Linked DNA regions of Oryzias latipes. Each later gene encodes a partner of the first gene's protein in a complex. Links are inferred from orthologs where the notes say so. Each region holds a gene or a part of one and is shown on either strand. Other genes may lie near its edges.

Region 1 (7,026 bases):
GATTACAAAAGATTACATAGATCAGTAAAAGATGGGTCTTATGGTTGTTTTAGGATTGGTTCTGCCACCTGTTGTGTTGAGCAAACTCTAGAGCCTTTGGGCGAACGCAAAGAGCAGAAGCTCTGTTCCAAAGCCTGGAGTCCCGAGACCCTGAAGGAATGCCGGGTGTTTTTGAGGAAGATCAACTCTCCAAACAACGAGTCCGCCGAGGAGGGCTGGAACTCCTGCACTGTGACACTGGATGATGGGTCACCCTCTGCATACCTCTTTGCAGGAAAGGAGAGGGAACTGCGGGGAGTTGTTAAAGCTTCGAAAAGTCAAAGAAAAAGGAACACGATGAAGAAGACTGCCTCCAGAGAGCCATCAAGCCCTTTGCCCACATCTGTCCAGATGAAGGACTCTGCTCCAGCAGGGCGGCAAAAGGACAAACCCAAAAGTCACAATGCGTCTACTGATTTAGCACAGCTGCCACCAGCGAAAACGTTAAGACAATCGCGAATGAGGGGCCTGACCGGGCTGAAATGGCGCGACTTTGTGTTTGGTAACTACTTTCTCCTAATACTCATTTTTAGAATTTGAATTGAGTTGCACAATTAACTTATCTTCGTTTATCCCGACAGGAAAGTAAATGAAGTGGGAAAGCAGAAGGCCTCCGGTTTCTGAGACTAATTACCGTGGTGCCTTTGGACATTGAGCTGACCACACGGACTGGCCGACCCTCTACGGTTCAGTCTTACACTCAGCCATTATGTAGCAGTCTAACTTAAAAGCTTAATGTTGCACTACTTTTATCCATGGAAGTGTTTGTATTTTGTCGTTTTTTTTCCGGTAAAACCCACCTGTGTCTTTCAGAATGTGCAGACAATTACAGCTCGTTCCATCAAAGAGAATTTGAAAACGACTTTTTTTTTTTTTTTAGGTGATTGTGAGGAAAGACAAAACGTGACTGCATTAAGTGTGTCCCCCACCGACCGACCTTTTACAGAATTTGGCTCCTTTAAGTCAGCCCTGCTTTAAACTGTACACTTTTTATATTAATATAACTTTTACTTAAGCACTCTCTGAATTTACACATAACTCATTGTTTAAAAAAAATGTTTCACAAACTTTACTTTAATTTTGAATTTGAGCCCTTTAATATCTCTAACAAGAGAGCCAGATATTTTTCATGAAGGACTCGTTGAGGCTCCGGTTGTTTAACTGTGAGGTGAATGACAGACAAACCATAACTCCAAACTAAAAACCAAATAATATATGTTTTTAATTTAAGATTTAATATAAAAGTGTGTTCCCCCATTTTTTAGGTCTCAGTAGTCCACAAAATGCTCGAAATGCGTGTTGAATAATGAAGTGGCTTTCTGCGGTTTTAGAAAAATAGGTTCTGTTGTATTTGTCGGGTGTATTTCCTGTTAACCCCTAGCATTTACTGTATGTTGCAGACAGACGGACCTCTTGCACTATACCATTTGAGATTAATAATCCCACTACCCACCCCATCCCATGTTTTGCACATCCCATGCCCCAATACCGATCCCTTCTGTAACACAAACGTCTCTTTGGTGCAATAGAAAGCCAGATGATTGATCATTTTGTAAAAAATGATTTGATTGCTGACAGACGAATGGATGTACACAATGGCCTGGGATGTTACTGTACTTCTTTTTTTGTAATGAAGTCATTCTGGGTTTAAAAAAAAATCTGTTTTAAAAATCAGTTTTCTCATCCGCTTTTCTTTCCTTAAAAAAAAAAAACTAATTTTGATTGAAGCATTATTCTTTTTTTCGCATTATTAAAGTTTTATGTTCTGTTTTTTTTATACCCTGTACTGGGGCTTTGTTAGATCCACTGCTGTTGCTTATCAGTTGTGTCGTAGCTGAAGCCGGATATTTAACTAATTCAACGCTAATCTTGGATCTATATGCTACTTTTTTGCTCTGATAGATCCCAAATGTCTGGCTTGTGGGTCAAAACTTCCCCCGTAGTGAGTGTTGTGCCTGAATGTCCCTTTCTGTGCATCAATTATGGTTGCCATGTCATCATGAAAGACGTTTAACAGTTGACCTTTGTTGGAAGAACCTGGTGCTAATCATCTGTTGTAATATTCTCTTGGAGCATTTTTATACTACCCTTTACAGATGCAGCAAAGAGCTCTGTGACTTGATCAATAAAGGTGTTTTTTAAAGTAAAATGTGTCATTTCCTGTGCGACATTTAAGAGGAGGAAACCAGCCTCTCACTTCACTTCTTTGAACTTTATTGGGTCTGTAATTAGGATCAAACCAGTCTCTGTGCTTGTCTTATACAAATTGGTGGATCTAGTTTGTGGGTTTTTTTGCCTCTAAAAATATATTTCCAAACATAATTTAACATTAATTTCAGTTTCTATTTCGTAGCCCATTGAATAACTTACAAATACTTTGCAACGTATGATGTCTGGAATATTTTAACTATGCGTTTTTTTAAGTTCAGGTTGCTTGGTTGTTGTAGCATCAATTCAAATCCCAGCTGGGTTCTTTTTTGTGTGGAGTTTGCATGTTTTCCTTGTGCCTGTGTGGGCTTTCTCCTACAGTCTAAGATCATGCTTCATAGGATGATTATGGAATCTATGTTGTCCTTCGGTATGAATGTGGGTTTATGTCCCTGCGATGGACTGGCAAACCATCCAGGGTGTCTCAATTTTAACCCCACAGTGGCTGGGATAGGCTCCAGCAACCATGTGACCCCAACAGGGAAGTATAAAAATGAACGGATGTTTTGAATTCACATTGGAGAACTGATTGAAATGATTTACTGCTGTTCCGCTCTATTTACCTATGACTGAAATTTGATTCCTCCTCAACTTTCTAACTGAAATCTAGGCATCATGTACAGCTGACTTCAGAATACATTTAGTTTGTTTGAAATTCACTTTCTAGACTCTTGATGCTCATTCTAGATCAAATTTTTCTGGAAGTGGTGATTGATAAATGTTTCATCTGTTAGTCCACCATGAAACTAAAAAGATGGAGACAAAATTAAGTTTATTGTTGATAAAACCTCGAGCTGAAATTATGAAAAGATGCTGCAGAAAACACAGGAACAAGATTATCTGCCCAAAAAAAGAAAAAGCTTGAAAAGGGTTTCATGACACATTGGCCTCCTGATTGAGGAGGGGGTTGAGGTCGAGTTTGGTCTTCTCCATCGCGGCGCTCTTCGCCCTCCTTGATGGACGTGCTGTAGGGACGGACTCAGGAACGTTTTCTCCATCGCTGCAGCAAAAAACAAAGCAGCGAGTTCAGGCGTGGATGAAGGGAATCAAACACTTTTTTGAAGGTGAATACCTCTAAACCCACCTCTCTTCTGATGACTCGGCTTTCCTGCTCTGCTTTCTGCTGCCTTTGGCGGTGCAGACTTTCCTTTGACCTGTGCAGACAAACGCGCTCAGGTTACCTCCCCCTACTGAGTCAACATCTTCACGCAGGTAAACGAGATGAGCTCTAAAAATACGACGCTGCAGCAAAAAGCTGAGTGTCCAGGATGTTACCTCTTTTGACTCTCTTGGCAGATTTTGATGGATCGTCTGTTGTTGCTTCTGTGGAAAGGGACAATTCAGATTTCTGGATTTGCACCTTGGACTAAAGAAAACAACCATTTGTCCCAAATGATTTATGTAGGAGTTTCTCACCGTCTGCGTTGACATCCAGCGGTTGCAGTGCACTGGCGCTTAAGAGCTCAGCTTGCTCTTTGGAGTCAATCAGCTGATGCATCATCTTCTCCAGAGCACGCAGGCAAATGCGATCCTTCACCGTCTGACAGCGAGAGGAGGAAGAGCTTTAAGACATGAAACTGGCCCACCTCTGTCAGGACTCACCGCACCAGTTTAAGAAATGCAGCCGACAAGAGGAAAGCACAAAAATAAAAAATGCAGCTCACAATCATGAAGTAAAAAAAATCCCATTCTGCATTTACATGGATATTGAGAGGAAACGTCGTGGCTTGAAAGGTGAACAGGAAGATTCTACTCAAAGCTCGGGGCCTGTCGGGTCGCTGGAGTTACAGTGAAGCAGCTTAACTCTGAGCCAACTGGAACTTGTAGGGAGGCTAAATGGAAGAGTTACAGCAAAGGCGGTGAGGAGTGTGAACAAGGATGGTGGTAGGAGAGGCAACAGTGGGATTAGGATGACGATAAACTGTCAAAAACGACAGCCAGTCCTGCAAGAATGGAAAACTGAAGAGCTGTCAGTTATGAGGAACAAACTGTCCGTTTGGAAAACGTCCATCTGTCTTCAGAACCTGTCACGGGCTGCTGGAGCCCACCCAGCTATTGTTGGGCAAAGGCGGGATAGACCCTGAACAGAACGCCGGTCTGTTGCAGGGTCTCTCTCACACAAACACACACACACATCTAGGGGTCATTTAGAATAGGCATTTGATCTATGAAGCATGTTTTGGGATTCTGATAGGAAGCTGGAGTTCCTGAAGAAAACCAGCACATGTAGAGTGAGAACATGCAAACTCCCAGTGAGGATTCAAACCAGAGTGCTAACCACTGTGCAGCCCAGCTTGGAAAACATAAAGCTGTTAAATCCCTAAAAAAACAGTTTCTAAAATGTAGCCCAACAAGCTTTTTTATTTCAGACATTTAGAAGAAAAGTTGCGACCACACCAGACGTTTCTTCTGCAGCCACGAATGTTTGATCATGTGCTTTGGATTCTTTGTCAGGGTCAACTTTTGAAACCAAAACTATAAATTAGGGGTCCCAAAGTCTTGCAGTAATCACAATTAAATAATTGCAAATAATTGTGATAAATAAAATCCATTGCTGATGTGATGTAATCCAGTGTTTTTCAACCTTTTTTGAGCCACGGCACACTTTAACCCTGACAAAAATCCCGCGGCACACCAGCATCCAAAAAAAAAAGAAGCAGAAATTCATGGTCTGTATTGATCGACTGAGATTTGTTGCACCCCCAACAAAAATACCTCAAAATGAGGCTTTTTACGGAAATTGATTATAATTAATTACAGGTAATAATAATGAATCCTTCAAATATATGAATAGAAATACAGGTGTGTGTACCTGAACAAGCTGCTGCAGCAGCGTCAGCAGGTCCTCCCTCACAGTGCTGTCTCTGCTCAGCTCCAGGTTGCTTAGCGTCTTTGCATAAAGGCGAACCTCAGGGGCGGTTGGGTCCTTCAGCATCTCGCCACACAAGCGCACCGCCAGGTAGTCGTGGACGCAGACCTCCTGAAGACACGCGGCACCAAACATGACGAGTCACATGTGGGGGCCGTTAGCATCTGAGCAGACTCCATTGGGCGTCCCTGCATCTACCTCTGTGTTACTGGAGGGTTTGATGAGCGCACTTGGACGCGTCAGTTCAACCAGAAGCTCCACCACGTTGTTGATGTCCACCTCGGCGAGCGGAGAGGTGGCGGGGGCATTCAGGAGAGTCCGGACCGTCGGCAAGAAACACTCCTCTACGACCTCCTGGTGAACTCTTAAAGAAGAAAAAAAGAAAGAAACTTTCCGTCACATTTGATTTCAGTGTGAAGAAACGGCTTTGATCTGGAAGCACAAGTTCAGCCTGCTAGGACAGAAATCTGGGAAGATTTCATTTTTGCTACATTTTGGGAAACGTTGACTAGATTTTGCAATTGATCAAACATTAGGCCTGCACAATATACCGCAAATTTATCGTTATCGCAACATCAAGCTGTGCAATATGCATACCGCAAAAGATGGCGAAAATCGCAATAAATGTTTACCTTAAATGTGCTAAAAAACAATCTCATGGCAGCTTGAAATAGTGAACAAATGAAATAAATCCCTTTATGCATTTAACCAATCGTAAGGAGCCATTTACGTTGTTGATCAATCAGATGAGCCCTTTTATGTTTGATGTTTGCCTCCTACGTCGACAAGGGTCATTTGGAGTATAACTTTTAAACTGTTGCAGTGAAATGGAAATGATGTTTTTGGTTGTTTTGCCATTTGTTTATATACCGCAAATTATATCGTTATCGCAATATTAATCACCAATATCGCATATCGCGAGTTTTCCTCATGTCGTGCAGCACTATCAAACATTATTTTGTTCTCAGCATTTATTTATCCGTCTTTAATTCAGGTGCCAGAGCAAGGATCCTTGCAGCTTCTGGAAGCTGGCTCATGTTAAAGACCCACTCAAATGTAAATGGTGTTTTTGCCGTTTTTAACATGTTCTTGTGACATTTTTCTCCTGGTGGACAACATATAAGCACAAAACAGCAGACGAAAAAAAAATGCTGTTTGAAAAAGATCTTATTTGTTAGGTAGAAAATACCGTTGGCGGACCACAAGCTCCCTGCTCCATTCTCATACATCCCCTTAAGCGATGTACATATTTGTTACAATGGACATTTCTAATAAACTATTGCTGCTCTGCAGAATCTATGTCCTAGAAAACGACACAGGCTTTTTTCTTTAGTTTGGCTTAAACCAGTATGATGATGATTACAAGAGCATTGGGAACACTTTTACAACAGATCCAAAGATGATCGGAGTGAGTCTTTAAGCGAACTGAAGTGATCAAAGGACATTTTTCTGATAGTTCTGCCTTCTTTGAGCAAATGAAAGGGAGCTCTTTGTGGCTTGAGAACGGACTCCTATTCATTAGAAAAGAAACAAAACATGAACAGAGTTCTGCAGAGCATTAAGATCCGTTACAGGGTGCAGCATACGACTGTGGATGAGTGAAAGACACCCTGTGGATGTGGCAAATTGGAGCTTCTCCGTCAGCTTTCTCATTATTATATTAGGTTACAAAAAATGCCCTGAGATATGACGCAGAATGGGGCTAACTGAAAAAAATCGGGAAGTAAAACCTAAAAGTGAAAGGGATTTGTGGATGAAATAAAAGAAAAGAAAACTTAACAGTGTCAGGTGGGAACAGCTGATTTGACGTGGTGAACCCTGAAGGGAACAGCCTAAATGAACAGCTATCACTGCGGCTGTGCCAATCAAGAAATAACCCCCATTTGTCTTCCCATTAGGAGAATATTCTA
Region 2 (7,989 bases), on another chromosome or scaffold:
ATGGTCACATCTTTGCTAAATTCAAAGTGTTTCCTCACATTGCACAGAAAGGATGGCTTTATCAGTTTTTGCTTTCATAACGTATGATGCATGTGGTTGTTTTTATATTATAGTAAAATAAACCTACTGTGTATCAATCCAAATGGTATTTTCCAATATCAATACAATGGATTTCTTTTATTTTGAAATGATTTTATAATGGTATAGGTCGATTCGATTAACAACTTGCATCAGACAGATTAATCAATCTAGTTGGATGGTAGGAATATCGACCTAATTAATCAATTAGGTCGATTAATTGTTACACCTCAAACATTTGCATAATTAACACATTACTGTTTAAAATGGTTTTTTAAACTTGATAGACTAAAGCAGGGGTCGGGAACCTATGGCTCGCGAGCCATATATGGCTCTTTTGATGGTCACATGTGGCTCGCAGACAAATCTTTAATTATACTTTTTTTTTTTCATTAGACCAGTCCTTCTCGGGCGCTGGGCGATGCCAGAGGCGCGCAGTAGTAGCGGTGCTTGGAGAGAAATATCTGCGCCAGCACCATCAGTTTACTATTATCTATTATTTCACAGAGTTTGTACCAGCCGGAAACCTGTGAATTGCCGTGCCTAAAACTGCGCGCTCCCGTCTCTGAGAAAGAGCGCGCAGTTGCGGGGACGGGATGTTAGAGGAAGAAAGCAGAGGGGGGGGGGGGGTTGTGGGGACCGGCAGCAGGTGAATCGCGCAGGGATTGTAAAAACGTAAAGCCCGCTGCCCGTCACTCACTGCAGCGTGTGAGTGTGTGTTTGGCTCCCCGTCTGCATGTGATCAGTCTGTCTCACATCTACAGAACATTCAGACCTAAGATCACGTTTAGAGTCTCAACGCCTGCATGAAGCAGAAACTCACCACGTATCAACCAAACTAGACCATCAGCAGAACTACCACGAGAAATACTCATTTATTAGCAACAGCATAACAATGTTATTAAAAAGAATCCACAGACCTATTGTACTTTAAAAATGTTGAAATTACATCAAATGCACTCATTCACTTGTATATTTAGTTTAAAACATATTGTAGCGACCTGGGGGCCTTCAGCCCCTAAGGCTCATGGGAAGTGGGGAGCTTAGGGTGAAACCTTGAGTCAGAGGGCTGGAAGCTGAAGTGACCCTCCATGCTGTTTGGGCTGTATGTGTGCTGGAATAAACAGGCTTGTTGCTTAAAAGCTAATATTGCCTCTCTCTATGTATCTTCCAACCTGAGACTGTCCGGAGTCGTGCGGTGTATGGGGCACGGACAGCTCTCCATTAGAACCACTTCATGAGCAGTTGGCTTTCGCTACCCCACTAAAGTGACGGTCCGGCCGGATCGTTACAATATTGTCGCGGACTGAGTTTAACTTGGCTGTTGGGCCGGATTATAAATTCTGTTCATTGAACACATCATGCAGAGATCTGATTGGCTCTCAGTTCTGTCGCTCAGCCTGTTCTCAGGTAGTTTGGACCAATGGGGTTCAGCTATGGGCGAATAAGGGAAATAGGAGGGCTGGAGCGGGAGGGGGGGGGGGGGGAGTTGGGAGGAGTGCTCTCGTGTCGGCGGGAGAGATTCAGGAGTTGATGAACTAATTGTACGGCGTTTGTTGCGGTCTGTAGTAACCAGAATAAAGAACCTTAAAAGAGGTTAAGTCTCAGTGTGGGAAAGGGACACTACAATATTGTATGGCTCTTTCGAAATTACATTGAAAAATATGTGGCGTTTGTGGCTCTCTCGGCCAAAAAGGTTCCCGACCCCTGGACTAAAGGGTTAGTGGGGTTCTTTAAGAACTGCTGGCTTTAGCGTCAAATAGTCTAGCCAGAGACTAAAGGCTCCTGCACGAGGCAGGAAGTAAAATGTTTATGAAAACACACACAGACATTTATCTCATAACGAAGAGCATTAGGTCTGCAAGTGTAAATAGAGAATGTACACATGACCTAGTATAAACACACTACTCCTGTTTTTCTTCCTGCTCCTAAGAGAGGTCCTCAATTAAAACCTGTTTTTAGATTTTTTGGTCACATCATCCTGAATGTTCCTGTCACAAATAAGTAAATTTCAAAAACACTGATGTTAGATAATCTGTGTGATCACTAAACAACCCAAAGGTGCCTAAGGTCCTTTTACTGTCAGGAGGTTGGAAACATTAATTGTAATAGGATTAAAAGCTGTGGACATTTAAGACATCTTATCCAGAAAACCTAATGTTTTTAACTTTTGCTCTTGACTTTTACAGCCTTATTCACAGTGACAGCCCCGACCTTGAACCATGTTCTATGCCAAGCATACCTAAGTATCACCCAACCCAGCACTTGATTATGGCCTGCTGCTGTAGTCTGCTCAATAACCCTGTCCACACACTTTTCTGTGCTCTGTAATTTCATTAAAAGCATTGGAGCAGTTCACTGCATATATCATCTCCCACGACATGAATGCCACCTCTTCCTCATCTCTGCAGAAAAAAAACTTTGATACAACATAATTAAGCATCCCTTCTTTGCACACAACTAGTTTAAGACTTGCTTAAACTGTACTATTATAGTCAATCGTAGCTAATATTCAGCTATTGCATTATACATGGCTTTATTATTTCTTATCAAATAAAAATAATTATTGTGATAAATAAAGGAGCAAAACTGGGACTTGAAAATGTCCTCATTAGCAGCAACAGTGAGAATCAGTCAAATGTCCTTTTTGTATGCAACTATCTTTAAAGCATTTACTAAAAGGTCAAATGGGTTTTATTTGCTTGGCAAGGCTTTATGAAGACTTGTGCATATGTACATTCATGCATATCTATGTGCGACAATTTAAGCCTAAATGCCATAGCCATACATCACACTAAAGTGTCTCTCTCAAGAGCAGAAACCCAATCAACGAGCTTTGCCTTTACGACATCTCGACGCACAGCAGGAACCAAGGATGATTCTCTGCTTGGGTGTTACTTGGCTGTAAATTTGAAATTTCTAATATTTCCCTTTGGTGCCTAGAATACGCGAGCATTACACAGAGGAATGCTCCACAGAGGAGTCACAGTCATGTCTGTTTAATTCACATGTCTTATCTACTCTCTCAAGGGCTTCAACACTTTGGGACAAAGAGATGACGTAAATCTCTGCTCTCTGGGTTCTTGCTGTGCTTTGTTGATAGTCAGAATTGAAGAAAAAAATGGTAAATGTAAATAATAGCGCCGGAATGAAAAAAAAAACATGAGTGTGGGAATACACCTCCAATTAAGCTGCACTTTCTTGTGAAGACTTGCAATATTTTATATTTTTAGTTTCAGAAGTTACTGAATCATTTCTTTCTTTCTTCTTTTTATTTTTTTGGCCACCTTAGATTTATAGTTAGTATGATTGCTGAACCTAACCCGAGAAGTAAAAATAAGGTCTATCTGCAAACTGAGTTCACACAATATTTACAATGTTGACATAGAACTGCTGTAGTATGGTCTTTTGGTATTTAAGGTTTACTTTTAGTGCCATCTAGTGACCAGTCACATTGTTTGACTGTCGCCTCTTGCCTCAATAGTTTCTTTTCATCTTAAAGACCGATGAGGGTTTTATCTAATTCAATATTTACTCCACTTTAAAGATACACTATCAAAATGTTGTATTATTCCTACCTTAAAAAACTCTGTTCTAAGAGAAACTTGATAAAATTTGCAATGTAACTGTGCAAACTGTATACTTTTTTGCAAAAGAAAAAAAAGATAAAGGATACTAAAATGCTGTCGTGAAAAAATAATTTTTTCTTCATGTTTACATGAAGTAAAGTCTTATTTTTTTTTTTTTTTTTTTTTTTTACATGAAGTAAAGTCTTGACAGAACCAATTCAAAGCCCACGCTCGTGGGCGTGGCCTTGCGTGATGACGTTGAGCTTGGAAACGTAAACCGTTCGGCGCAAAAATTCAAACAGAGCAGGAAAGAAGGCTGCGTCTGGCTTTGTTTCCATTAACGAAAAATCTACCATTAAAGCTCCGCACCGGGACAGCGATATTTTTACACGAGTTGGTGGAATCACGTAAGTCTTCTCCTATCAATGTTTGTGTTTTGTCTGTCTGACATTAATGAAGAAGACGCACACACCGAGGCTAAAAGTTTAGCTATTTTGACTGTACAGTTAGCCCATGCTACGTTAGCGTGTACATCGCTTTGCCAAAACACTTCATTCTACTTCTACAAAAGGGGATTTTCAGTGTAACTACAATGTTTTAGTCAAAACTACACGGAAACATCCTTTTGTGCACTCAGTCATTCAACTAAAGAACGATGAAATATTTAATTTATTTGTCAAAAAAACAATTTGACCACGCGAGTATCCCTCTGTTTACATCGTTCTTTCTTGGAGAGGACGTTACTAAACATTTGTAAATACTGTATTCAGTAATATTTTCCTATAATTTTCAAACAGCATAGCTTAAAAAATATTTAGGGAAATGGATCTCTATCTGATTAGGTAAATCTAAATAAAGTTTTTAAAGGTTGACATCCTTTTATTTTGACTTTTCAAAATAAAGTTTGCTGCTTTCCCCCCAAAATAAATGTCAACTATTGTGCAATATGTTTCTTACCATGCAAATCATCACGTCATTTGTAATCTTACATTTATTTTTTCCAATTCCTCGTGTAGTTTTTAACATTCACCAATAAAAAGTAAATCAGTCCAAAAAAAGTATGAAAACAGATCACTAGAGTATTTCTTTTTTCTCTCTTTTAACATTTGCTTTAAAATTCACTTCTCAGTTTTTAACTCATTCCAAACATGTTTTTGTTTGATTAAAAACGTTTTCTGCATCTGTAGCTAAGATGAGTGCAGCCTCCACACCTGCATCCCGAGTGCGTCCAGGATGGCCGTCATCTTCTCTGCAAGGCAAGGGTCTGTCTCCTGCGGCCTGCAGCACCCCGCTGCTGTCAGCCTTTCCAGGCAACGACGATGAGCAGGAGCGGCGCCAGCGCAGGAGGTCAAGGGTCATTGACCTTCAATCCGCCACAGATTCTTCCTTCACTGAGACTGCATCTCACAGGTAAGCTGTTAACTCGTACCTGTGTACATTATCATCCGCCTGAGTGCTGTTAAGGTTTGTTAAATTCGGGATGCTCATATTTTTGTTTTCTAAATCAGTGCTTTCGGGACTCCTGCTGCTGTACCGAAGCTTTCAAATGCTCAAATTTCAGAGCACTATTCAACCTGCATAAAACTTTCTACTGAGAATGTAAGTTTTTGGGTAGTGTTCATATGCAAACACTTAAACTTTATCAGGCATTTTAGGAAGTCAATATCTGATTAATGGAAGCGGTAAAATAAATATCCTTTTTTCTATTTTGTTTGTTTTTTCCCCCAGAAAATCACCACCAAAAATGCTTTTGGTCTGCATTTGATTGATTACATGGCGGATATTTTAAAGCAGAAGGATTCTGAGCTCACTAACTTTAAGGTTTGTGTAATCCAATTACTTTTTTGCCTTTAAAAAGAAATCACCACAGTCTGTCCCTGTACTTAATGTATTAAACATAGACTTGTATCATACAAGAATCATGACATCACTTGTTATTTTTTTACCCATTTAAAGTTAAAGAACAGCCTTTGGTATGATTTTAATGTGGACTCCAGAATATGCCTTCTTGTGCTCCATTATTGACATTTTGTTTTTTGCAAAGGTGGCTGCTGGCACTTTAGATGCCAGTACAAAGATCTATGCTGTGAGGGTGGATGCTGTTCATGCCGATGCATACAGAGTGCTGGGGGGTCTCGGGGGTGAGACCAAACCAGGAGAGGGTGAGATCTGCAGCACACTGTGCTGCATCTAGGCCTGCACAATATACCGCAAATTTATCGTTATCGCAATATCAAGCGGTGCAATATCCATATCGCAAAAATCGCAATAAATGGTTACCTTAAATGTGCTAAAACAATCCTATGGCAGCTTGAAGCATTTAACGGATCAAATAAATCCATTTATGCATTTGACCAATTGGATGGACCCTTTCCGATGTTGACCAATCACATGAGCCCTTTTGTGTGAGATTTTTGCCTCCTACGTCAACGAGGGTCATTTGGAGTATAATTTTTTTAAACCGTTGCAATGAAATAGTAATGATGTTTTTGATTGTTTTGCTCTTTGTTCATATACCGCAAATTATATCGTTATCGCAATATTGATCACTAATGTCGCCTGTTTTGCTCATATCGTGCAGCCCTAGCTGCATCATTTTCCAAATAAATCTTTTTTCACTAAGGTTTTTTTCTTCTTCTAATAAAATTATGGCTAAATGTTTCACTTCTCATTGCTTTTGTCCAAAAATGCAAAGAGTGAGCATTATCTGGTTTTGTCACACCATGAAACTGCAGCTCGTGCTGCAGAAGCAGGGAATGAGGATGACGATGGGGAGGAGGTGACTGCAAAGCAACCAAAGAAGAAAAGGCCTCCGAAGAAGACGGTGGAGCAGAACCTGAACAACATCAACAGTTCTGAATCTGAGAGGAAGTGTGAGGTATGGTGAGACGCCTTCCCTTCCATACCGTTTTCAAATATGTTAGACTTGTTGTTGGCATCAAATATCATCTGGTTGTTACAGAAACAAGTTTTTGTTATGGTTGTCTTTTGAGTTCATCTTTTTCCTGTATAACTCTGTTCTGTTGTTGTACTTCTTAAATAAGATCACCGTTGTTGTTGCACATCCAGGTGGACCCCATGTTTCAGCGGATGGCCTCATCCTTTGATGAGACCAGCACAGCAGGTGTCTTCTTGTCAGTTTTATTCAGCGAGAACAGTCGCTGTGAGCTGCTCTTTCCCTCTCACCTGATTCTGCTGCAGTCCACACCATCATACTCTCCTCCAGCTCCACAGAGCACACCAGCATCCCCGTTCATGGGTAAATCTCATTTTTCAGACGGAAGGATGTGGTGCTTTTATGCCAAATACTAAAATTTGTTTATTTTTCCCTTTATGTTTGCTTTATTTCTACCTGGATGCCAGTTATTGACTCTCTCTTTTTAAAACGTTCATTTTTCTTTTTCATGTTTCTGGCAGCTGGACTGCAACGGTCTCAAGAGAAAAGCTCCATCTGTCCGTCATTACAAGACTTTTCCTTTACCAGTTGGAACCCTGAGCAGGTCAAAATTGTTTATAACCCAAAAATGTATTAATCTAAAACTATTAATCATAATTTTAATTGGGTTATATTATTTAATTGGGTTTAATTATTCCAGTTTTTGTTGTTTTTTATATATTGCCTTAGTATTATTACAGTTAACTGAATTTTTCAGAACAAATGCAGTTTAGCCAGTCTTTTATTTATATTGCTCTCAATAATACAGACAGAACCTTAAGACAATTGTGCAAACACAACTTTCCTCTGATATTCTTGATAGAAATGAAGCTCATGTATGGAGCCTGAACAGGGGTGTCAAACATACGGCCCGCAGGCCTTATCCGGCCCGCCTGGTGGTTTAGTCCGGCCCACACATGAAGAGTAAAAAATCATAAGGATGATTAAAAAAAAGGAAGCAAGTTTTTAGTCCATTCCTGTGGCGAGTTATGATTTTTTTTAAAGAAATAACCGAAATGTGCAATTCCACCACTAGGGGGAGCAAAGGAAAGGAAAAACAGTTGAAACAGCATATCTCTGCACGTGCCAAAAGCGAAACATAACAGCTCTGCGTCTGGGTAGGATGCACCTTGGTTCCCTATGAGCCTTACCGCTGTTATCTTGCTATAAGGATGATCATTAGCGACACCCTAACGACCAAAATGTTGTCAAAGGTGAAGTGGAGTGAAGAGCCTTCCAGGAAAAATGGACAGAGTTTTTTCTTTCTTTCACGAAGCTGAATGCAAACCCCAAATGCTTTATATGTCATCAACATCGCAGTGCTCAAAGAATATGACATTCAGCACCACTAAGGGACTCACCATAAAGAAAAGTTTCTGGATTGCTTCAGTGTCAGATGTAAAATAT
Region 3 (8,066 bases), on another chromosome or scaffold:
CCACAGTACAGCTTTGCACATCTTTGTGTTTATCAGAGCTGTGAATCAACACTGAAAGCTTTTTTGATCTTATCTTTTGAGCTCTGTATCCAAACACAAAGAGCATGGAGTCTATCACATTAGACTTGCCGCTTCCATTTGGACCAATGATGCAGGAAAAGCGCTGGGAAGAAATTAGGAGACAAAAATAAATAAATAAAAATGAATGCATCATCCATATGAAACATACAAGAGATTAAGATTCAACAACAGCTGTCAGTAACAGCGATGACACCACACACAAGTCTAATATAGATTTAAACACTTAAATTTAGCAATATGAAACTTGCATGGACATGAGGCGACTGAAAAAGATTTTTTTTAAAGAAAAAAACATTTAAAAAGTTTCATTAAATGTGATTACACCAGTAGATTTTCAGAAACTGAGAGAAACACTAAATCAAAATGGAGGAGTGTGACTTCTTCCTCTTTTTTTAAGGATTTTTCTCTCTAAACATTTTTACTAATAATCTTATTTTTTTATAGATTTCAATAAGACACATTTATTAGAAAGGTGACCTAAGATTTCAGACAAGAAAAAAAATAGTATCAAATGAATAAGACTTGGATAGTAACAGTTACACTAAATCAGTGACGTGCAGTCAGGAGAGGCAGGTGAGGCTGTGCCTCACCTGTCATGGGAAGAAAAGAGAAAAAATAAATTCAACTATTATATTTAATCAGTAATTTGTGCTTTGCAGTCATTTTCCATTTAAATGTACCAATTTTGGGTGTTTTTTCTTTTCAAAATCGCTGAATTTCCGCATTTGCCGTTCAGATACTAAGAAGTGACGTGCGATGAGGCACCAGCCCGCTGAGCCTCACCTTGGATTGCGCAATACCTATGCAGTCAGACGGTACTGCTGTCTCTCTGTATGTCGGTTCAATCACTTGTACTGTATGAGCTGAGTTTGCATAATTTAGCAGATGTATATGATGTACAGTGTTTGTTTTTATAAATAACTGTATGTGAGGGACGTGTTTCTTGTGCTGAGCGCTAAACGCCGGCGAAAAAGCCGCTGGGTGAGGCCAGAAGTTCCCGTGCCTCACGTTAGGGGGCGCCGGTGAGCCTTGAGATTATGACGCTAAAAAAATAATAGAATAAGTGATAGCAAGCGGCAAGTCATTTTCTTCCGAAAGAGCGGCGTATGGACTTTAGTTACAAGTAAAGGTAAGACGATAATAATGTTTGTGCTTTTTTCTATGCTGCGTTTTGTATATGAAAAAAAACATGTTGAAATGATATTTTAAACAAAACACCTTAACTGTTGTCAATCAAATGGAGAATAAATTAATCAGTATGGTTCATATGTTTGTAAATCTGACTGATGACGTCAGTGCCTCACCAGCCATTAACCTCACCGCACGTCACTGCACTAAATGTAATCTAAGTACATAGTTAAATATATTCAGGACACATGGTAGATTAGAATCAAGTTTTGGTCGTACCTTGTGAAAAGGCCCCAGAATCTGCTCGCCTGCGTACGACTTAAAGTTGCGGTTCACTAAATGTGTTATCATCAGGCGGGGAGCGCCCGGCTCATTGGTCATTGCTGGGGGCGGGGGTGGAGGGATGCTACCGAGAATCTCCTCCAAACTTCGATTATCGACCGCCTCGGCAGCCTCCCCTTCTGCCGAATCTGTGGCACAGAAAAGGGCACTTTTCAGTTTTTCTGTGCGAATCGCTTCAGGTGGGGAGTGGGGGGGGGGGGGGGGTAATAGGGACGGGACAGTGGCCCATGGGGGAGGGGTGGGGGGAGAACAAAAACAAACAAACAAAAACACAGTCGGCAAGTCGCACAGACAGACAAGCGACTCCGGGGAAAGTTGACAGGCGTCGTTTTTTTCCCCCTTTGTTCAGAAAGCAAGAGTCAAGCCTCGGATCGGACATGAACGAGCACACATCAGTGCTCACAAACGCAGTCTCTCTCCGGTTTGATGCGCCACGGACACCTCCAGGATAAATGAAGTGCGTTTATATCAGCGACGTCGTTACTACACCCAGCTAAATGAAATACAGACAGGAAAAACTTTTCTGCATGAAGATCTACAACGATCTTCAAGAATCGGTTCAAAATCTTTTGTGTTCTCATATATACAAAAGAATTGACGGTGTTTCAAAAATAAAGTATAGCAGCTAGACATTTAGCGGAAAAAAAATTATTAAACAGATTCATGTACCAATGAACTTCAACAATTGCATCTTGAGAGCAGCACACGCGCTGTTCAAAAAAAAAAAAAAAAAGTTGCAGGCATGATGAATACAAATCCCGTTTTTACGTCACAACAAAAACACACCATTTCGAAGCAAATTACCTCGTTTGCCGTCAAGATCGGGCGAAGAAATGCATTCGACGATATGAAAATCATCCTGGAGTGATTTCATTTCTATGTTGCACTTTAGAAAACGTCTCAGCCATCCCAGCTACTCTTTTCAATTTAAGATAGAGGAGGGGAAGGAGCTTTACAGCTGTGCCAGTTGGCCTCTAGCAATACTGCAATACACGCAGAGCCATTGACTGAACAACTTATTTAGATTCACAGACACCAAAACAGCCTTTGTTACTTGCCAGTTGTCGGTGGTGCCTCCTCTTGGCCATTGGAGTTAGTTTCTTGAGGGGGTACATCCAGATCACCCTCAGACACATCCTGCGACCCTTTTCCTCTTGGCTTGGTAGAGGCGGTTGAGCTCTTTGCGGTTTTGGATGGCATGATTTGAAATCTAAAGGGGTCATTGGTAAAAAAATAAAAAAATAAATGGGGGGGGGGGGGGGGACACATGAGTGGTTTTTGTGTCTGTCAATCTCTCAACTCCACTTTACGGTCAGTCACACACAACTAATGTGTCAGGAGTTTGCCATTACCAGTCAAATCTTACTGCCGCCCTTCCTAATAATATACCATTGTGTTTATTATTTGTTTTTTCCTTCCAAAAGTTTAAATAGTTGCTAAAAACAAAAACATGGAAAAGTGTGTTACAGCGATTTTTATTCATCTTAACACTACTAGGATCAAAAAAAGGTTAGCTTTTAAAACAAATCCCCGTAAAAAAATGTTACAAACTAGCCAACTACAAAACTTTGGAAAAATGCTTTTTGGCCTTAACCGTTAACGTTTAACGGTGGGTAACAACGAAAAGGAAAATAAAGTTTACGTCACCCATTTGAAAAAAAAAAAAAGAAAGAAAGAAAAAGAGGGAGAGAAATTCGTGTCGAGCCTTGAATTGCTAGTTTTCTATGATGACCACTACTGAAAGCGCAGCTCAACAGATAACAGTCGAACTTGCAAACTAGCTTTCAGTCCCTGAATTCTAATGTTCAGGGCGGAATGATAATTTGAAGTTGGCCATCTAACGCGATTTGTTAATGTATTCGAATAACTAACCAAACCTACAGTACATGCAGCATGATTTAAGAATGTTTTCGTAATCGTTTTGTTACCGGATGACTATGTCGCATTAAAAGTTACTACGATTTTTTTTCCCTCGGCTAATAGTTAGGTTAGCAGGGGGGAGGGGGGGTGCTAACTAATCATTATGTCAAACTTAGCATCACAGAGCAGACCGACATATTACCACCTTTAACTGGTATAGGTTGTAATAAACATATAAACAGTAATGCTATAGGGGCTTAAGTTAAGAATCCATTATTGTTGCAATTATTAAAAAACGCTAAAAAAAAGTCAATAAGTAGTAGTAACACTATCAATGTCCTGCCAATGCTATATTTTTTCCTTTTACTTTATTTTAAAACATAGTTGGATTTGTGGCTTACTTAAAGGTTTGTCTCAATTTCAACGACCGCTATGAATTTCAGCAAATAGACGGAACCCAGTAAATATTTTTTTTCTATTTTTTCTTCATGTACCTTCCACAAATGAAAAAAAAGTCCTTCGCTGATTTTCTGTTTCGATCCAGTCCAAACCTTTCAAGAAGAATAGGTTAATCCAAGGTCTAGCAAAAAATACACTAAAATAGTCCACAAAATCGTGTGCCGTATCACCCGGAGCCGCTTCCTTTCTCGAAAAACTTGTCTTGTAAATGGCGCCTAAACTGCGCCGTCGAACCAAATTCGTTATAAACTCTCGCAAAGCATCATGGACCTTTCAAATGGTAGTGTGAAAAAAACACAAAATTCAAAAAAGGGGACGAAGCCAACTCCGCCTCGCTCCACCAGTGATAAGAAAGGCGCAACAGTAACAAAGCGATAAATGACAATTTCATAAAAAGACATCACTTACGATTTTCATTTTTTGAGTAAGGATATCTTTTAAGAAAAGAGTTGTGTTTTCAGTACTGTCGAATCATTCGGTTACTGTAAAATAAAGTCCCGCCCCATGGAAACGTTTATATTATTTTTTGGAAGTGACCGAGATCATCAACACATTATTCAGTAATAACGCAAGCCTACTTTAAAGATCATTTTCTGAATGAATTTGTATTAGTCACTCAAAAAGTAAACCCTCTATAAGTACACGCTGAGGTTGCAAATTGTTACAACTCTCGCGATGACTTGGCTGTCAACCGTTCACTCATCCGAGATTTCATGGCTAAAAAGTTAGCTTCCATACGTCATGAAAACAAAACGCTTCTTCATCAACGCTGCTTGACCTGGTTCATTTGTATCGAATATTCGAACTATATCAAATGACTTTCACACATTGATAAGAGGCACATAAAAGAAGTGCGGTCATCAGAATGCCCCCCGTGCGATTTTAAAAGGTAATGATTTTAGTTAGTTAGCTACAGTGGCTGCCTGGTAACATAGCAACTAGACGCTTGTTTGGTGTTGGTGCATTTTCTCTCTTTGTTGGATTTTCCTCTAATGTTAAGCTTGACTTAAGAGTTGATTCAAAACTGACATACGTGTGTTTTGTTTGTTTAGGATTCAACAGAGAGACAAGAACAATGAGACTAAAAACTACGCTGCAGAAGGAACCAAAACATATCCTTTAATTGCATCGTGATCCCTCTTGTTTTATAACTTATTGCCTTTGATTTGAGCTGAATGGCAAAATATTTTGAAAACTGTGACATTTCACGTTCCCGTTTTAATAGTATTATTGCTGTTCTTCAATTTAAGATTGTTTTTAAATTATTTTCTGTCCTACATTTCTGCAAACTAAAATAAATTTCTGCTGATAAGAACCACTGCAGCAATGATAAACCTTGTCATTTGCATTTTCTACTGAAAAAAATGAAGACAAAACAAAACAAACAAAAAATAAAATAAATAAAGGGGTTGGGGGCAGGTTCTCCAGATTCTAGGTATCTATGTAGAAAACATGCAATCAGCTGAATTTGTAATATTTGTCCTTTTTTTTATTATTTTTCTTAACACCAGCTCACATAAGGATCTTGTAAGTTGTTTAGGTTGGACCACAGCCGATGAGCTGTACTCATGCAGTGATGATCATCAGATCCTCAAGTGGAACCTGGTGAACAATGAAACCAATGTGGTCGTCAAGCTGTCAGAGGACATCTACCCCCTGGACATGCACTGGTTCCCCAAAACTGTTGGTGGGAAGAGACAAACCCAAGCTGAAATCTTTGTCCTCACCAGCACTGATGGCAAGTATTTTATAAAACCCACTCTGCATCTTAAAAAGCAAATGAACAGTATGTCCATATCAAGTTGTGAAAGACTCAATCAGCCGTTTTTAAATATATTTATTTATTTTACAAAATACTGCAGGATAGTAAAAAGTTTTAAGTAACCAGCCATGCTGTGACTCTTTTTTTTAAACTTCAATCCATGAAAATAAAATGCATTTTTATCTGATATTAAACTTGGACTTCACTGCATAAAAATTCCATTTGCCGTTTCGCAATGTGCCAGATGCGTTTCAATGATGATTGGCCAAAACCAAAAAATGTTTTTTTTCAGTGCCCATGCTTTTATGACGAAACTGCATGTTGATTAGAATTATGTTCCTGAAAGATGCAAGACTTTTTATGCTAAAGAAGTTTTGTGGGTAGAAGAAAAAGTTGCTCTGCCTGAAATATAATTTTTTTAGAGACGTGAACTTTTTTTTTTTGCAGAAATCTCTGCTGCTTCCATCATTATGGATGTTGAATTTGAATTCGTCAGGTGTAAATAATAATTTGTCTACACGAAAAAATGTTGCTTTTGAAACCCAAACTGCTGTGAACAGTTTTCCCTTTTCATTTTTTGACAGCATATGTTCCTATATATCGGTTTTTACATTTGTTCCTTCATGAATCATACCTGTTCTGTAATTCGACCAATGAACCCAAAGATCCCGGGCATCTAGCAATCATTATCTTATTTTTATCTTTTTTACAGAAATGATTTTGTGTTTGCTGGATGATGAGATATTCAAATACTTAATAACTTTATTGCAAGGATATTCTGAAATTCAGATTGTTTTTAATCCCAGTTCTACTGGTTCGTGAGCCCTGCCTCTCCTAGATGCTCTTTTTGTTAGATCATTCATTCATTCATTCATTCATTCATTCATTCATTCATTCATTCATTCATTCATTCATTCATTCATTCACTCACTCATTCATCTTCTAAATCTGCTTTGTCCCTTTCTGGGTCATGTGGCTGCTGGAGCCTATCCTGGCCACTCGTGGGCCAAGACAGGGGACATCCTGGACAGGTTGTCGTAGGGCTTTGTTAGATTATGTCCCTAAAAATGTTACCAACTATATAATTAGTAGCAGTCAGTTGTCTTCTTACCAACAGTTTTCCTCAGGAACCCCATAGAAGTCATTTATTTCAACATTTCAACTTTTATAAAGATGTGAGAATCCGCAGTTGCACTCATTACTTAATAAATTGTTTCCAGCGCAACTAGTGCAAAAATTAGTGTAGTGTCATTCATGATGCAACATAGATGTTTTGATGTTGCCTACTTTGAGCAAATGATAGTAATTTTCATACTTTTTGGGTAAATACACAATGGTTAATTTCTGTATTCCTTAGTTTGAGGATACCATACTGTTTCATTTGCCTTTGGATGACTTGGTTTGTCACTAAAGGCAACAATCCAGACAGTGCCAAGGTGTGTCATGCATGTTACGGTAGATATGAACACATAAGAGCATGATTGGACTGCTGTGGTAGGCAATATGTGGTCACAACTCTAATGGCAGTGTTGAATTGCAAAACGGATGCAGCAATTTACTTTGGCATGCCAGAGACTCGTTGCGATTCCCTTTTGCAACTTTCTTTCTCTTGCTTTCTTTAGTATAGTTTACACAAGCTAGACAAATAGCTGTTGCCATAAATACTACATGAAATATGAGAAGGGAAATGCATGACAATCATTTTTTGAACTACTGTGAGCCCTGACACATTTAGCAAAAGGATCAGTCTGTTATTGATCTTTAGCATTTTCTCAAATATCTATAAGAAACGTTTTCATGCTACAGTCCTGCAGCCCTGGTTACATATCTGGAATTTTCAATTTAATTCATTTGAAGTATTTTTAAAGTAAAGATTTTCTTTATTCATCTATTAATTGCAAGTAACTATTTTGGATCTGCAGTTTTTCCTTTTTTCTTTTTCAAATGTGTGCTTTTAAAACATTGTTTTGACAAATGTATGTTGCTCATCTGTTTAATATGTTGACTTAATTCATTTTGTTCTCCCATTTAAAGATGTATTGGTGCAACACTGCATTAATCAGTTTTGGACAGAGTCATTAGATCGTACTCGTCTGCATCAGGGCAAACGTGGACTGAAGAATAGTGTCACAATAAAGTCAACTCTTTTTTTTGGTTGTTTTTAAGGAAAGTTCCACCTGGTTTCCAAGATGGGGCGCATTGAGAAGAGTGTTGACGCTCACAAAGGTGCAGTCTTAGCAGGAAGATGGAACTACGATGGAACTGCTCTTGTTACAGGTTTGGATGTCGCTAACGCATACACAGCTGCAGTATAATAAATATTTGGTCAATTTTAGACAAAGAAACATATTCAATACACATTAATATTTTTTAAAGTAATGCTGCTTTCTATGGTTCTTAGCTGGAGAAGATGGGCTAATCAAGATCTGGTCAA

The links.
Region 2: the proteins of ncapg (region 1) and ncaph are in contact, whole or in part, in a crystal structure (PDB 6IGX), measured with the Homo sapiens proteins. The link is inferred for Oryzias latipes from reciprocal best matches to the Homo sapiens genes NCAPG and NCAPH. Residues at the interface, in NP_071741.2 of Homo sapiens: Lys11, Phe14, Arg15, Gln18, His50, Tyr51, Lys53, Tyr54, Val55, Met56, Val57, Glu62, Ala64, Val65, Val68, Phe102, Ser106, Glu108, Ala109, Asn110, Ser111, Val114, Arg115, Ile149, Arg150, Lys152, Asp153, Lys154, Arg159, Glu188; in NP_056156.2 of Homo sapiens: Glu471, Ile472, Asp473, Phe474, Glu475, Asp476, Asp477, Ile478, Phe480, Val482, Tyr483, Phe484, Arg485, Lys486, Thr487, Ala489, Ala490, Thr491, Ile492, Leu493, Gln501, Asn502, Trp503, Ala505, Thr506, Thr507, Leu508, Phe512, Tyr514, Val516.
Region 3: ncapg (region 1) and smc4 share a complex: the UniProt entries of both Homo sapiens proteins name them as parts of the condensin complex. The link is inferred for Oryzias latipes from reciprocal best matches to the Homo sapiens genes NCAPG and SMC4.

What each region holds. Positions count from the first base shown.
Region 1 is NC_019859.2:13,388,524-13,395,549, forward strand, and holds the end of ncapg (condensin complex subunit 3), read right to left. Parts: intron 5,481-7,026; coding exon 5,315-5,480; intron 5,228-5,314; coding exon 5,060-5,227; intron 3,788-5,059; coding exon 3,664-3,787; intron 3,571-3,663; coding exon 3,523-3,570; intron 3,402-3,522; coding exon 3,332-3,401; intron 3,248-3,331; coding exon 3,121-3,247; 3' UTR 3,003-3,120; downstream 1-3,002. Other genes in the region: lcorl (ligand-dependent nuclear receptor corepressor-like protein), read left to right, coding at 1-541, 621-628. UniProt on the Homo sapiens protein: Regulatory subunit of the condensin complex, a complex required for conversion of interphase chromatin into mitotic-like condense chromosomes.
Region 2 is NC_019867.2:25,820,411-25,828,399, reverse strand, and holds the start of ncaph (condensin complex subunit 2), read left to right. Parts: upstream 1-3,905; 5' UTR 3,906-4,054; intron 4,055-4,834; 5' UTR 4,835-4,839; coding exon 4,840-5,057; intron 5,058-5,155; coding exon 5,156-5,246; intron 5,247-5,375; coding exon 5,376-5,468; intron 5,469-5,691; coding exon 5,692-5,809; intron 5,810-6,382; coding exon 6,383-6,525; intron 6,526-6,716; coding exon 6,717-6,906; intron 6,907-7,064; coding exon 7,065-7,147; intron 7,148-7,989. UniProt on the Homo sapiens protein: Regulatory subunit of the condensin complex, a complex required for conversion of interphase chromatin into mitotic-like condense chromosomes.
Region 3 is NC_019871.2:13,487,398-13,495,463, reverse strand, and holds the start of smc4 (structural maintenance of chromosomes protein 4), read right to left. Parts: upstream 4,085-8,066; 5' UTR 4,041-4,084; intron 3,963-4,040; 5' UTR 3,906-3,962; intron 2,762-3,905; 5' UTR 2,752-2,761; coding exon 2,610-2,751; intron 2,589-2,609; exon of another isoform or gene 2,426-2,588; coding exon of another isoform or gene 2,356-2,425; intron 1,680-2,355; coding exon 1,489-1,679; intron 164-1,488; coding exon 1-163. Other genes in the region: ift80 (intraflagellar transport protein 80 homolog), read left to right, coding at 4,946-4,982, 5,387-5,608, 7,799-7,909, 8,034-8,066. UniProt on the Homo sapiens protein: Central component of the condensin complex, a complex required for conversion of interphase chromatin into mitotic-like condense chromosomes.